4 linked regions of the Yarrowia lipolytica genome follow. The main gene of each other region encodes a partner of the protein of the gene in region 3 in a complex. Links are inferred from orthologs where the notes say so. Each region holds a gene or a part of one and is shown on either strand. Other genes may lie near its edges.

Region 1 (4,411 bases), on a different chromosome or scaffold from region 3:
GGACTTTGATTCACATTTTCGACTCTAAACACTCACTACAGTAGTAGTAGTAGCGCGCTATACTTTTGTAGACCCGCTGAACTGCTTATCTCCTTTCTCTCTCTCTCTCTCTCTCTCTCTCCACACCCTGTTCCCATCGGCAGCTTATTTGCCGCATTATGAACCAAGCATATACTGTATTTACTGTAAGCATAGGGCACGGAAGTAAAGAAGCTACACTGCCGTTGCCGGAGGAACCACCCATCAGAAAGTACATACTGTACAGTACATATGATAAATGAATGAAAATACGCGGAATTTTGAAAAGGAAAACACCACCCCCTCATAATACCTCGAACCTCTGTTTAGGCGGCATGTGTACCTTTTATGGCTTCCCTCACGACACACGGTCAGCTCCTTGACTTGAGAAATAGAGGGCCCTGAATGCAGCATATTATAGTTGGATGAGTCTAACGCACATTAGTTGAGAGTTGAATGGAGGGGGGCGTTGGTTGGATTTTGGGCACACAGGAATGAGAAGCAAGGAAAGAGAGAGCGAGAAGTGTTGCAGTAGTGAAATACTCGTATATTTCATCTCGTATTTTTTTATAAAATACGTTCTTTGTCGTACCGCTGCAATGCTGCCAATATGCTGATCTGTCTGCGTAGAGAAGCTGTTGTACCAGACGAGTATGCACGTATAGCATGTGTCGATAACGGCTGTAAGTACGAGTATGTATTCGTACGGTACAGTCATATATTCGAGTACGTGTATATGTGTCGCACATCATTAGTCGCGCGTACGCTATAGGTAGGGTCAATAAATTATCATTTATGTTACATGCTGAAGCAGTATCAGTTTCCATCACCCTCCTTCAACTTCTTGGTAGTGCCACGGTCCTTCTGCTCGTCAGCTTTTCGCTTAGGGCCTAGTTGCAATCCGCTGCCCCTCTCCAGCTGTGTGAACGTGCCTGAGGCAAAGAATTTGTTATCCTGGGTGGCCGTCTTGGGTCCCTTGGGTTTACTAAGCTCCATAGACTGCGCCGTAACAGACAAAGACGACTGAAGACCGTCGATCATAGGTTTGGGACGGTTCTTGAGCATCTCCAAACGCGATCGAGCCCCCTTGGACATTCTTGCACGGGTCTTGGAATCAGCTTCAACTCTTCGAGCTGATCCCAGGCCAGCAGCAGAATCCAACATTCCCAGACCCACGGTCTCTCCGTAAACGTCCACAGTCTTTTCGGCCTCTCCGAACGCCATTCGGTTGGCAGCAGCAGCCATTTCACTCTGCTTGAACTGCTCCTTGAACTTTCTGATCCGCTTTCCACCTCGCTTCTTTGAGGGTTTGTCGATAGGAACAGGTAGGGCCTTGACTCCCTTTATCTCCGGGGGCTCTGCTAGTTTCTGCAACTTTCCTTCAATCTCCTCTCGCATTTTAGATCCGAACGATCCATCTGTAGATGCTCTAGAGGCATCCAAACGGGCTGCAAGTACTAGCTTGGCTGACAACATTCGCATGGCCTGCTTTCTGATATCAGCAGGACTCTGTTGTACCACATCCGAGTAATACAAGTAACCCTGCTGTCTTTGTGCTTGTCCAAACCCCACCGCAGTCTCTCGCTTAGCTCCTAGAGAAGGTATGTTGCAAGAGGGGGTCTTTGCCAGACCGTTGAGACCACCCACAAATCCAAGAATCTGAGCTGCACAATGAGCACCAATCAGAATGGCCGTATTGGGTGCAACGAGGTTCAGTTTCGAGGAGACATAGTTAGTGATTTGGCGCTTAGCAGCGTCCAATGCTATCAGTAGCTTACAAGCTTCGTTTATAGTGGCCATCTCAACGTCCGAGAGTCGTCGTCCCCCTTGGTCCACAGTCATGGTAATAGTCATCATCACTGACTTGTGCACCACCTGTTTTAAGTGCGGGCTATCTGACTTTGCCACTGCTGCGGGATCGTTTCCAAGAATGGCCACTACCTGTGCATGCTGTAGTGGGTTGGCGATGAGTGATCTGAGCTCGGGGTACCGCTGGCTGTATCTAGTGGCGATGAAGTTGTGCAGCTCAGCTACTGCGTTGTCGATTTCCACCGAGTACTCGTTTGCTCCCACAATCACATGGTACTCTGGATTCTCTTCTAGATTTGATGTGAGTGCGAGAGTTGACTGAGTGGCACCACTTTCGTACAGAGAAATGCTTCTGAGTTGTGGCAGAAGTCTGGGGACCATTGCTGCCGAGTTGGTGGACCCCAGCAGGTCCAGGTTGATGTTATTGAGTGGAGTAGGCGACAGAGGTTCTGTGGTTTCGGTTGCAATGACTTCAGTTGGGATCTGGGAAGTCGCATCTTCCATCACCTCGTCCACCTCTTCATTTTCTTCGTCGCTGGAGCCAAAATCGGCCAGAATTTCGTCAGCCAGGCCCATTATGTCGTTGTGGGGGTGAGCTCAGCCTTTTGATGGTGATACAGTAATTGAGGGAGGATGCAATATTTAGAGTTATGATCTTTTCGAACACTTAGAGTTCCGATATGCAGTGGACTTCGAAGTGCAAAGACACCGTGAAACGCGTTATCACAACTACAAGTATTCCTGAACGACACTCAAGTTCCTCTGGAAGCCCTGTAAAAAAAACATGAGCAGAGTCAGCATGTTTCCTACGGAAGACAAACGGTCTTATTTCGAGCGACAACGGGACCAGTACATCAAAAACATCTCGGCCAGCATGGAAGACGTGCTCAACAACCTGAACGCGCTGAACCGTTCGTTGGAACACACTGTGGGCCTGTCTCAAAAGTCTGAAGAGCTCGCAGAAATGTGGAGCCACTTTTACAACACCGTGAATGAGGATCTGGTGAAGACGGAGGACGGAGACATCGAGGTAGACACTACCAAAGAGTAGTGTAATTTGGAGTTGCGAGTTACGAGTAAGGGCCTGATGGACTTGCAGACGATTATTTATAAATGTATTCTAATGAACTGATGAGTGCTTTGAGATGAGTAAATGGCCGGTTTTCAGATTTCGAGTTATGTGATCTAGGTCTATAGTACAAGTATCTACTTGTAGGATTAAAAATTCTACTCTACAGTTTGTACCTCCGTAGATGAACTGGGCCACTGGCACAGTATGCACAAGTAGAGCTACCACACAACTCCTACATTATATGTACTCGTACATATAATAATACGGCTGCTACCGTTCATTGCCGTTACACAGACGTCGCGCCCTCTTGTATCCTTCTCATCATAATGCATTACTATATCACCCCTTGTTAGCTGTGGTTGATGCTTTCTACAACACCAAGCACTGGTGTCGTTTCTTCTTCTTCTTCTTCTCGATCGGTTCCGAGGCTGGTCTGGATTGTAATTTTGGACGTGTGGCTGACGCTGCTGCTGCCGCTGCCCCTTTACTTTGTGATCGCACAGGTTTGGTTCTCTTTGATCTCCCTTTTTCCTTCAGCACCGCTCCCATGGCGACTGCAAACACCTCTCTAACGCCAGACATGTCCTTTGATGAGCACTCCATGTATTTGTACACTCCGAGTCTCTGTGCCATGGATTTGCCCTGCGTCGGCGTGATGTGGCTCAGTCCCTGAGCTTTGAGATAATGGGCGGATGTGGAATCGGCTCTGAGATCGGTTTTGAGACATACCAGCACCACTGGCGTGTCTGGACAGAAATGCGTCACCTCAGGGAACCACTTTTCGGCCACGTTTTCAAACGATGACGGCGAGTCCACGCTGTAGCACACCAGCAGCACATCCACGTCTGGGTACGAGAGTGGTCTGAGCCGGTCGTACTCCTCCTGTCCTGCTGTGTCCCATAACGCCAGCTCGATAATCTCTCCTTTGGGCCCCTTGAGCGTGGTTATGTAGTTCTCAAAGACCGTCGGTATATATCGCTCGGGAAAGACACCCTGCGAGTACGACACCAGCAGACATGTTTTTCCACAGCCTCCATCTCCTACCACCACCACCTTGATGTGGACGTCTGGTTGTGCGGATTCCGCCGTTTCGATGAACTCGAAGCTGCTCGGGTTGGCGGACTCGGATGTGCGGTAGTAGCTGAGTCGCTTGAGGGACGACATTTGCTGTTTTTGTGGCTCTTTAGACGGTCGAAAATAGTGTTGTTTGTTGGAGATGTGCGAATTACCTTTTGTTTGGAAGATCTGTCTTCAGGGGGCTTGTGGAGCTCGACACAAAGACAAAGCGCGTTAAAGGTGAAGAAGTGGCGATTCAAACGTGTTTTTTTGAAAGAGCCGTACACGCGGTGAAAAAATACACGCTCATACACCTTACAAGTACGGCCCGACTCCACTATATATCCGTTGGGGCCTGTCTGTACATGGACCTGCATAAGACGGATCCCACCATATGCCGAACTCTGTGGTCTAAGTTGAACAGGGCTGAGTACAGTGTGTATATCCTGGTAGCAC
Region 2 (3,719 bases), on a different chromosome or scaffold from region 3:
CCTCTGAACAAATGGCTTCAGCACAGGGATGTCCGCATCTTCAACTCGCAGTCCGGTGACCTTCTCCATGCTTTTGGTCAGCACAACTCGGCATTGAAATGAGTGTCCTGAAACGTGAATGATGGAAACATGGTGACTTTCACCCGTCCAGTAGGAGTCGCCAATCGACAATTTCAGGGTATGGAAAGCCGTCTGTAATTGGCGATTCGAGGTGATTTCCTTGTTCAGCTGGGCTCCAATTTCTCCTTCCAGTTGCTGAGTATCTATCTTGTCGTTGTTGCTGGTGAGCAGCTGCTGTACGAGCTCCTGAGCGTCGTTTTCGGCACTCTGAGAGCTTTCTAGCTTGCGTATCTCCTCTTCAAGAGCAGCCACGCGCTTTCGATACAGCTGGACGCGTTGCAATAAGCCCTTTTGTGTCGTCATGAAGTGTGGAACTGAAGTCACAAGAAATCAAGACACGCGTGGCATGATGCATGAAATATGCACAACACCAGATTTATATAATTTCCGTCTAAAATTTGTAGAAATGCCAAACTACGAGAGTAGCCATTAATTGGTGATAAACAACCTGTAATCTGGTTCAAAATACCCCTCTCTCTGTCTGCTTGTAGTATGTCATAATACTACCCATTCTTCCGATTTTCCCCCATCCAATTCACTTGATAAGCAATAAGCAATAAACAACAAAAAAACAATGCAATAAATAGATACATACCGGGGGCTCTCTACTTTCCGGTCAACTTCCAACCTCTTCCCACAGGGGTACTGAAACATTCACAGTGGTAGCCTCCATAGAGATCCTTCAGAATCCATTCGAAAGAAACGCCCTTGAAGCCCTTCCAGCGGTTGCTATTAGCACTCCACTTCTTCTCCATCTGCTCCTCTAACATTTCCTGGTACGACTGCTTTTTGAGCATGTTTATAAACCATGTTCGTGCAGAGGCACCCAGTTTCAGAAACACACCCACGTTAGGCACACAGACATTGTACATTTGAGCCTCTTGAGGATTCATGGTCAGAAACCCGCTCTTGACGAGAGTAGAAGCATTGGGAAGTTCATCGAAGCCAAACTCCACCCGACTTGGATGGGACAATAAAAGGATCTTGAATTCCTCCAGAGCCTTCTTCTGATTTGCCACCTTGCACTCTTGTATGCTCTGATCCAGCAGCTTGTAGAACTTGTCTGCCTCCATTAGAAGCACGCCTTCATCAACGTTATTGACTGCCACTTTTCGCAGTAGTCCTGCCTCGACGGCGTCGTTCACCCGTCTCAAGACCAACGTAGGCTCTCTCAGGCTGTATGCGTGCACATGGGTCATCTTGACTAGAGGAGGCACGTTCTGACGAGCTTCATAAGTAGGAGCTGTGTACGCCTTTCCGATTGGAATCTCCTCGTACATGTTATCCAGAATCTCTCTCACCACCTGCACAATGTCGTCTCCCAGACTGTCCTGCTTCTCCTGGTTCTTCCACTTGAGATCGCTCTTGAGAGACGTCACTGGCAGCTTCTCCTGTTGGTTTGCCTTCAGGTAGTCGGCCTTTTGTTTTTCGAGCTGGTTGATGAACGCCGCCTGGCCGGGCATTAGAGGCGGCTCCTTGGCCCGTCGTTTGCCCACTCTATAAGACGTCGATGCCGTGAACTTCATGTTGTGTGTGTGTTGATATGAGGGTGCGTGTAAGATGTGTGTTGAGATACGGTGAGGTGCATGAGCAGAACGGTGGCAAATCAGGACATGAGATGTGACAGAGAGGCAGTCAAATTGCAGTGTCGGTCTTGGTGTCTTTGTGTCTGTGTGTGGTACTCGCTGGCTTCTTCTCATGAGGGCTGGATCAGACTCAGTTATTTTGGAATCTGGTCACATGACTGCATAAACTTTAAATTCTGCCGAACGCAAAAATCATCACTCCTTCACTATGCATGAAATCCTATCACCGTGTGTACATCACCACTTTACACCACGCAAAACCACATAAAAACAGCACAGATGGACAACCCAGCGTGAGTATAACGAGAAAAGCGGGATTTGGGGAGGATGATCAAACGAGACGGACCAAATGATGGCTGGAATACGTGATGGATGATGCGATTGTGAAGTGATTTGTGGAACCCAAGAATGAACGGTGTGCGACAAGCAGACACTGTTATTGTTTGGACCCGAACGGAGAGTTGTGACAGCGTTAAGTGAAGGGATTGACTTTTTGAGAAGCTGTGAATGCCTTAATCAACTTCTTTACTAGGTTAATAGTCTCATGTAACAGTCAGATGAAAGCATGACTGCCCAAGACGCACGCCCGCAATCACTCCTACCACTCCGAACGACATCCCTAACATGGCACTTCGCGAACGGCACTGTGAGCACGGTATCTTGGTTGTAACGTTCACTGCGGATTGTCTCACGATTCATGACACACGAGCATGAAACAATAAGCAAGATGAATGGTACAAACATCAGCAAACAGCAGGATGCTTGACTGGCGGTCACACAGACATATATGGGGGACAGTTATACCACCGTCTCCCTAGTTTCGCCATTGTTCAACATGCCTAATCTTGGCTCTATTCATCATCCTTGATTGTGCCTGACGTCCGATACAGACAGACCAGACATATCCTCAGGCGCACAATGCATCTTCTACTGTTGTCTACCAGACCTGCGATCCTCACACCCGTCTTATACTAACCCAGTGAACTCCTAAACAAGGACAAGTCCACTCTCACCGACGTGGAGCTCCAAAAGCTCGAGGAGTACGAGTTCTCACATGGCCCCCTGTCGCTGCTGCAGCGGGCAGTACAGAACCACACACAGGTGCTGATATCGTGCCGAAACAACAAAAAGCTGCTGGCCCGAGTCAAGGCGTTTGACCGGCACTCCAACATGGTGCTGGAGAACGTGAAGGAGATGTGGACGGAAAAAACGAAAACCGCCAGCGGCAAGCCCGGCAAGACCGTCACCAAGGATCGGTTCATCAGCAAAATGTTTCTGCGAGGCGACACCGTCATTCTCGTCGTTTCTGCATGAAAGGGAGGTTGTATAGTAATTATTTATGCATTTGAAGGAGGGGGTACTTGTAGATGTGGCTGTAAAATGGACATCCACCACCGCTGTATTAGCATCGCGCATTGAATAAAATAAATAGGCAGTAGGCATATATACGTTAGTCCCGTAACCATTTTAAGCGGCTCTGGTTGGTCTACTACTTGGTCAATGAGACTCTTGATAGTGGTGGTAATAGGGAAGGGTTGCCGTCAATTGCACTCTTCATCGCACTCCTCAGAAGTGTTTTGCATCGCCCGGATAACACCTCTTCATTACCTCGGTCATCTCAAAGCGATACTCCTCCTTATTCCATCCCCTGAACATGAGACACAGTCCATGGAGATGCGAGAATGTGTCCATGATGTCCAACCCTGAAGTCTCGTCCACAACCACCAGATTGGACTCTGCAAACACCCTCTTTTCCCCAACTCCATCGACCACCACCTGGTAGTATGCCTCTGACTCCTCCATGCCCACGTCGATCTCTCGGTTGGGAATCTGAGCTGTTTCTTCATAAGCTGTTTCGGAATTCACAAACCACGAAACGACAATGCCATAGAGATCCAGACGAGTATGATGCACCACCTGACCGACATAGAGATTGACATGCTTACTGTGTGAGTCTCGAGACTTGACCGTTCGTAGAACTGGATCCAACTGTTCCAGAAGCGTCACCTCTGT
Region 3 (3,269 bases):
TTTTCGCTCTCCGTAAACGTCTCCGGATAGTCCTCGGAGATGTTGTACTTGGCGTAGATGGCCGCCTTGTTCATTTTTGGGAGCGAGTTTGGTGATGTGTTAGTCGTGTAGCCGACTCCAGAATGCGTGATAACGTATTAAGGTGTTGGGAGGTATTTACGTGTGCTTAAGCCCCGGAAAAGCTGAGATGACAGGACACGGAGAAAAAGGAGGTATAGGAACTGATGAAATGATTAATTGTTTAATGAAGCCTGGGTTTTTGGTTTCAGTGAATTATTTAACGAAAACATATCGCTTTCGGAGCAATTTGGGGACTATGAATGATTGACACACAGTCAAGAAACACCATTAGGGTTAACCCCACTAATTAGTTGCAGATGAGATGAAATGTGAAGAAAATTTAGGGAATGTATTTGTATGATTTGAGATGTATTCGAGGTCTTAAAAATAGTAATGGATGAATTATAAGACCTTAAGAGTATTATACGTGCCCATTTGGTCTCGTACTCCCTCATTATACGGACCCCTCGCCTTCGTTTTTTCTTCCAGCCTGATAATTACTCTATCATGACCATATTTACTTGGCCTACAATATTGCTACTGTAGACAAAATTCCCACAGAAGTTACAGTACAGTACCGATACCTGTGCTGTACTCGTACTATCGTGCTCGTGCTCGCAATATCTATTTTACATTCATCATTACATCTAGCCAGCAAATACATACATCATCTTCCTCGTCCCCGTCCGCCCCGGCCTCTGCTGCTTCGCACAGCAGCCAGAGTCTGAGGCCGAAACATGGGCGCGTTCTTCAGCATCTCGGGGATGGAAAAGAACCGCACGTGGGATCCTCGGATGTAAACCTGCTCGAGATGCGACACTCGGCCTCCTCGCGCAGTGACGGTCACGTCTCGAATCTGCACGTTCATGTTATCCTCCGCTGAGTTAGTATGGTGGTCTAAGGGGAAAGTGTTTGGCAGTATATCCAGGTTTCTGAGAAACAGCTGCGAGCCGCATGATCTCGTTTGTTGAAATGAAACGTTTATGCTTGCTTATGGTCGTCCTCTGATAAGCCACGGTCGATTTCAACTCCATCAATGCAGCGACACATAACAAATGGTCCATCTTTCCGCGTAAACCGCTCCATTGAAGCTCCGTTCAGCAGCTTGCCCTATCTGTCGTCTAACCTCCACGAACAATTCGGTCTCTGCGGCACAATCACATGGTGCTAATTTAATATCACATGGATACCCAGCTTCGCGAGATTCTGAGCGAGCGAGCAACACCAAGCTGAAGCGAGGTCCTGACTCCGCTGACATCCCTCAAGTTGCCACAATACCCTTATTCTGTACTCACCTTCAATCAATTTTCCCCGATAAGTGTGTCCTGAAGTGAGCTCAACGGTGACAACATGACCCTGTGTTAGTTATGTTCTGGGGTGTGTGGCGACACAAAAGTCGTGCCCATACGCCATTTGCTGCATCATGTCAACTCCTCCTCTGTTTTTCTTTACTCACCTGAGCCTCGCTGAGGAGTTTTAATGGAATTCCGCCAGCTCCCATAGTGTGATGTGTGGTGCTGCAGAAATGTTCATCGGGATAGAGTTGGTGTAGCACACGAGGAGTGGTGGCGAGGCTAAACTTTTAGAATAGGGAAGAGTGCTACGAAATGCGATATATGGCTGACTGTTGGGGGTACAAGCTTCGTTTAACCGAATTATTGGTGAGAAAGAGCTCTCCGTGATTATGACAAGATAAACAAGTTCCTGTCAATATTAGTTGACGAAGAAGAACGAAAAAGGGTTCCAGTTTGTGACTATTGTAGCTATGGTATGTTCACTTGTAATTAGATAATTCGTCTGATCTCTTTTTCAGCAGTGTTTCATTCTTCTAAATTACCATCTTTTTTTATTACTGGGCTACATTGTTGTCTTTATATCGTCTTGTTTTTACGTGGTGGTTTTTTATTTATTTATATACAGTATCATCATATATTGTACAAGTGAATTGTACAATTTTTATAACATAATATAAGTATGTATTGTACTGTACATTCTGTATATTGTACAATTTTTTTTTTCTGCATATACATTCATTTAATTATACAAGTACAAGTACAAGTAGCTACTGTATAATTATACTGTATGTAATTTTTTGGCCTGTCTTATCCCCCTGTTCACATTTTAAGGTGACTATCAACTGACGTTAATCAGCCATGTACAGAGATCAGATATCCAGGATGATATAGCGCCAGGCCGAAACATGCTGGGAAAAGCAAATCGTCAACTTTCTGACCATGAGAGAAGTAATTCTCACATCTCCCTTAATCAGCATGAATGTTTCTACAGATAATCTACTTCCCAGCATTCATACAAATACTGTATTCACATTTTGTAGGTCCTATGGAACTCCATCCAACTACCCTCCATTAAGCTCGCTGGACATCTGCATGCACAGCTCAGCTCCACATCACCAACACCAGCCCTACAAGTAATTATCGCACCAGCATGGACTTTCCCCCGGAACCTAACCGAGCTGTGGAAAGCGAAAAGTTTGCGGTCGAGCCCGTGCAGTTCCAGTTCGCCATCTCGTCGATCGTGGCTCTGGCGGTGGCCAACAACACTCTCTGTCTGGCGCTCAAGTCTGGGCGAATCATTCGAATTGACCTCGACAACCCCGAAAGCGTGGATGACGTGGACGTCAAGGACGGCGGATGTGACATTGAGAACCTGTTTCTCGACCCCACCGGCTCCTACTTACTCATCGCCACCAAGACCCGCGACAATTATGTGCTCAACTACCAAACGACAAAGGTCAAGTCTCTGGGCCGATTGAGAGACCTGGCAATCACATGCGTGGCATGGTCCCCCATCGAAAGCTCTCTGAGCTCAGGAGAGGTGCTACTGGGAACGGCAGACGGCTGCGTCTACGAGACATGCTTGGAGTTCTCGGACGAGTACTTCAAGCGGGAAGACAGATACGTGCGCAAGGTAGCCGAGTTCAAAGCTGCCGATAGCCACGTGGTGACACCCATCACCGGAATCGTTGTTCAGCTCGGATCCAGCCCAAATTACAGAAAAATCATTGTGACAAACGCCAATGGACATGCCTACTATTACTCTGGCAAGATCTCTGCCCACCTGCAGGACGGTATTCCCGTCTACACCAAGTTCTTTGAGCGTGAAGAACACGTAGATCAGGAGTTTGGTGCCGATAACGGAAGAGCTGCCATGTTGTCAGCCACTCCTCCTGACCCCAAGTCCTCATCTTG
Region 4 (3,313 bases), on a different chromosome or scaffold from region 3:
CACAGGATCCACCAGATCGGAATCGATGTCAACAGAGAGATAAAGCTCAGTAGGCGGACTTGGAAACTCACGTGATATATCACATTACATGTTCTGCTCTCGCTGAGCCCTCACAGCCCCATTCACCAACATTACCACCATCTCGAAACCAGCTGGACCATTTGGAACAGATTGTGGGATTTTCTCATCACGAGACTTTGAGGGAAGATTGTTTGTCATTGTCATGCTTCGAATCTTCCTCTTCTCTCTTTCACCCTTTCATTTGTCGTCCTGGTCATCACGTGCTCGCCTAGAGCTGCAACATGTGACCGCTTTGAATTTTATCACGTGCTCTCATGGATTGGCCAGCCTCCCCTCTTTAGTTCTTAGGCGATCTCCTACTTCGGCGCTGCTGAGATTGCTGTTGGTTCCGCCAAAATTGCTTGAGGGTCTCACTGACATTCAAAGTGGGATTTCTGTTGCTACAGCTGTTTCTAATCCCGAGTGGACTTGGGCTATATGGAGCCGACGGTGACTTCCATCGATTCCCAGCACCGGTGCGCCAAGGATACCAAGAAGATCCTCAAGGTCTTTCTTTCTCAGGCAAGCAGGAATACCGACTCGAATGTACCAGTGGAGCAGACTCGGTCCCGAGTGTTCAACCGGCGGCCAATCAGAAATGAACTGGAGCTATCAAGGAACCCTTTTTCCAGATCTGTTGCCCTGAACCGAACCGGGCCAGTCGTCTTAGCTTTCTTCTGGTACTACTTACGTTTCTCTCTCAAGTTCCAGCGGGGTTACTTCTGACTGCGCTAGTGTCCCTCAGCTCTAGAGAATCTCCTTCACATCGCTAATACTGAATAATTTATTATACAAGGTAGACGGGGTCTACTGGATTCGTTCAAGGGCCTCCAGCATGACCACAGAGTTGCCTCGAATCACAGCCATGCCGGCCTGTACCTTGTCTCCATTGGCCTTTTCCTCCACAGATTCCTCCAGAACAATGTTTAGGAATGCCTGAGTTAGTACGTAGCGGTAGTGGGAGCATCATAGATGAATGAAGTCGAAAATCGGCTGACAGACCAATAATGCGCGGAATCCGTTGTGTCTAGATTCGTTGAAGACAGTCATTAAAGGCCCGGGCTGTTCATTGAGACAGATGATGTTCAGAAACAACTCAGACAGAGCAGGATTTTGTTGACCAGCCAGACATGTGAGAAGAATTGACCGAGTAGGAAACGAGCTGAAATGACATGTGTCGGCATTCGCGGAGGTCCAGTTGTCTCCAGCTAACTCATATCCAGTTTGTTGACAGTAGTCCAACCACCAGGTATATATCTCTGTGGTAGAGCTCTGGTTGAGTCGATTCGTTCTACCTGTCAGTCTCTAGACGTAGAGACACATCTCAGATCTCAATCCAGCGCTAGTCAAAACAGCTCGACTCTGTCACTACTCCATCTGACTATCCATCAGTACCTCGGTCATCATCGTACTCTCCTTCCTCAATACTCACATCATATCCTCGCAAAACACCAATGATCTTACGCTCGCCGTTGAGATGGACAATGAGACGCTTGTCCATGTACTGTGTTAGTCACGTGACCGAAAATAATCCCGCTGGCTAGCTGCCGTACTCACGTTTTTCAGCTCCGGAACGCTGGTTCCCATTCTTGTGTAATGTGGTGGTGCTGGTGAGATGAGATGAGATGGAGCCGTCACGTGAAGTTTTCTGCAGTCTAGAGTTTGTTAGTCAGCAGAGTGTTGGTGGGAGAGAGAAGGGTAAGGGAGTCACGTGATATATATGGATTTTGTAGTGGTTTGACGAGCAATGCTGTAGTTTTGTTCTCTTGTTTGGTTTCGTTGAGTGTTTTTATTGATTTTAATTAGTGTGTGATTTTTTATAATTGTTTTAGTTTCGATAAAATTCACTGCTAGAACAATAAAAAATAAAAAATAGTTGGAGTTTCGATGTTTCTAAATTTTTAATTTGAAATATGATAAGTCCGGAAAGATAGGAGATCAGAAATGGAGGAAAAATAACAGGGGAAATCAACTCCTTCTATTTGGGATTCATCAGCAAAAGTACTTAATAATCCCCCTTTTTTGTGCTCTTAACCTCACTTCTCACGGTCCCTCCGATGTCGTCGCGTCCTCCCTCCAATCATGAATGTGGTGAGCCAACACGTGGGTGGACAACTGCATTTGATATGTACGATTGTGCGAGGTGATTTGACCAAGAAGAGTGGTGGACCGGAATTTGGGGTCACGTGATTGAGTGGGGCTCGGAGTGGAGGGTTGTATTTAAATGTGCCAATATCAGTTTTATTGTCTTGTTCTTGTATTCATCTCAGCTCTTCACTCTGGATTTCTGAAGCTGTAAAAATCACTTTTGTTTCTTGTTTGAGGATGCAGTTTGAACAGAGTTTCGGTTGGTTTTTCGATACGATTTGGGAGGTGCCGCGATCGAAGGATGTTTGGGTGACTCTCTGGGGGGGGGGGGTTGTCCGGTGACCGGGAGTCGCCCGTTTTCGAGTGTGTCATGGTCATCTTGGATCTCGTCTCGCCTTTCTCTCGGCGACGTTATAAGTGTCTGTTATGACTGGGTCCTATTCCTGCCCGTGATACTTTCTGTCAGATACGAAAACTATATTGGCATCTTGCGGCAGTGGCGGGGAGCTGTTGAAGGTCGTCGAATAGGGCCTTTGAGGACAGATGTCGGCATTCGGAAAACGGCGAAACACAGCTGCGGGCCTTTGGAGTCGTTGTGTCAAAATTAGGCGCTCAAAACGTCTCTTCATCGGCGCTTTTCCGCTAGTGCCAAATCGGCCTTTTGTCGACACTAACACAAACTTTATGCACCGCCAACCACTAAACTTGGGGGACACTGTCGACGACAATTCCTCTTCATCATCAGAACCGTATTGAAAGTGAGTATGACGTTGGGGGGTTAGTGACACAGACGGAGTGCACAGGGGCGAGGTGTTGATGACGGAGTGCACAGGGGCGAGGTGTTGATGACAGAGAGACATGGCAACGGTAGCAAAACACAGAAACATGGCGGCCATGGTGTCGACAGCTGACGCCAGTGGTTTGTGTCGGAGCTGTTGATGCCAGTGCCTCGTATCTCGACTGTGGTCTCCTCGTACAACCATTTCCTGAATCCAGGTATGTCTCATGGAACTACAGTGTCCTTGCGGTACAGTGTTCCATGTGGTAGTGGGGGTGACTGCGTACATGTATGCGACTCCCAAGAAAACTCGATGTCCGACCACATCTCACATCTTCCCCGACGCTGTTCATATACCCTTGCTGTGATCCTGGTCCCTGCATCTGT

Evidence for each region.
Region 1: YALI1_A19974g (region 3) and YALI1_B18207g share a complex: the UniProt entries of both Saccharomyces cerevisiae proteins name them as parts of the U4/U6-U5 tri-snRNP complex. The link is inferred for Yarrowia lipolytica from reciprocal best matches to the Saccharomyces cerevisiae genes SMD3 and PRP31.
Region 2: YALI1_A19974g (region 3) and YALI1_F09803g share a complex: the UniProt entries of both Saccharomyces cerevisiae proteins name them as parts of the sm core complex. The link is inferred for Yarrowia lipolytica from reciprocal best matches to the Saccharomyces cerevisiae genes SMD3 and SMD2.
Region 4: YALI1_A19974g (region 3) and YALI1_C14516g share a complex: the UniProt entries of both Saccharomyces cerevisiae proteins name them as parts of the sm core complex. The link is inferred for Yarrowia lipolytica from reciprocal best matches to the Saccharomyces cerevisiae genes SMD3 and SMX2.

What each region holds. Positions count from the first base shown.
Region 1 is NC_090771.1:1,818,751-1,823,161, reverse strand, and holds YALI1_B18207g (uncharacterized protein), read right to left. Parts: upstream 2,404-4,411; coding exon 835-2,403; downstream 1-834. Other genes in the region: YALI1_B18205g (uncharacterized protein), read left to right, coding at 2,612-2,878; YALI1_B18190g (uncharacterized protein), read right to left, coding at 3,269-4,063. UniProt on the Saccharomyces cerevisiae protein: Promotes the association of the U4/U6.U5 tri-snRNP particle with pre-spliceosomes to form the mature spliceosomal complex.
Region 2 is NC_090775.1:978,397-982,115, forward strand, and holds YALI1_F09803g (uncharacterized protein), read left to right. Parts: upstream 1-1,985; coding exon 1,986-1,999; intron 2,000-2,686; coding exon 2,687-3,020; downstream 3,021-3,719. Other genes in the region: YALI1_F09788g (uncharacterized protein), read right to left, coding at 1-423; YALI1_F09802g (uncharacterized protein), read right to left, coding at 726-1,820; YALI1_F09833g (uncharacterized protein), read right to left, coding at 3,273-3,719. UniProt on the Saccharomyces cerevisiae protein: Plays a role in pre-mRNA splicing as a core component of the spliceosomal U1, U2, U4 and U5 small nuclear ribonucleoproteins (snRNPs), the building blocks of the spliceosome.
Region 3 is NC_090770.1:1,995,682-1,998,950, reverse strand, and holds YALI1_A19974g (uncharacterized protein), read right to left. Parts: upstream 1,562-3,269; coding exon 1,517-1,561; intron 1,417-1,516; coding exon 1,356-1,416; intron 940-1,355; coding exon 728-939; downstream 1-727. Other genes in the region: YALI1_A19989g (uncharacterized protein), read right to left, coding at 1-74; YALI1_A19965g (uncharacterized protein), read left to right, coding at 2,506-3,269. UniProt on the Saccharomyces cerevisiae protein: Plays a role in pre-mRNA splicing as a core component of the spliceosomal U1, U2, U4 and U5 small nuclear ribonucleoproteins (snRNPs), the building blocks of the spliceosome. Also binds telomerase RNA and is required for its accumulation.
Region 4 is NC_090772.1:1,449,978-1,453,290, reverse strand, and holds YALI1_C14516g (uncharacterized protein), read right to left. Parts: upstream 1,648-3,313; coding exon 1,618-1,647; intron 1,565-1,617; coding exon 1,493-1,564; intron 997-1,492; coding exon 868-996; downstream 1-867. Other genes in the region: YALI1_C14500g (uncharacterized protein), read right to left, coding at 2,586-3,215. UniProt on the Saccharomyces cerevisiae protein: Plays a role in pre-mRNA splicing as a core component of the spliceosomal U1, U2, U4 and U5 small nuclear ribonucleoproteins (snRNPs), the building blocks of the spliceosome.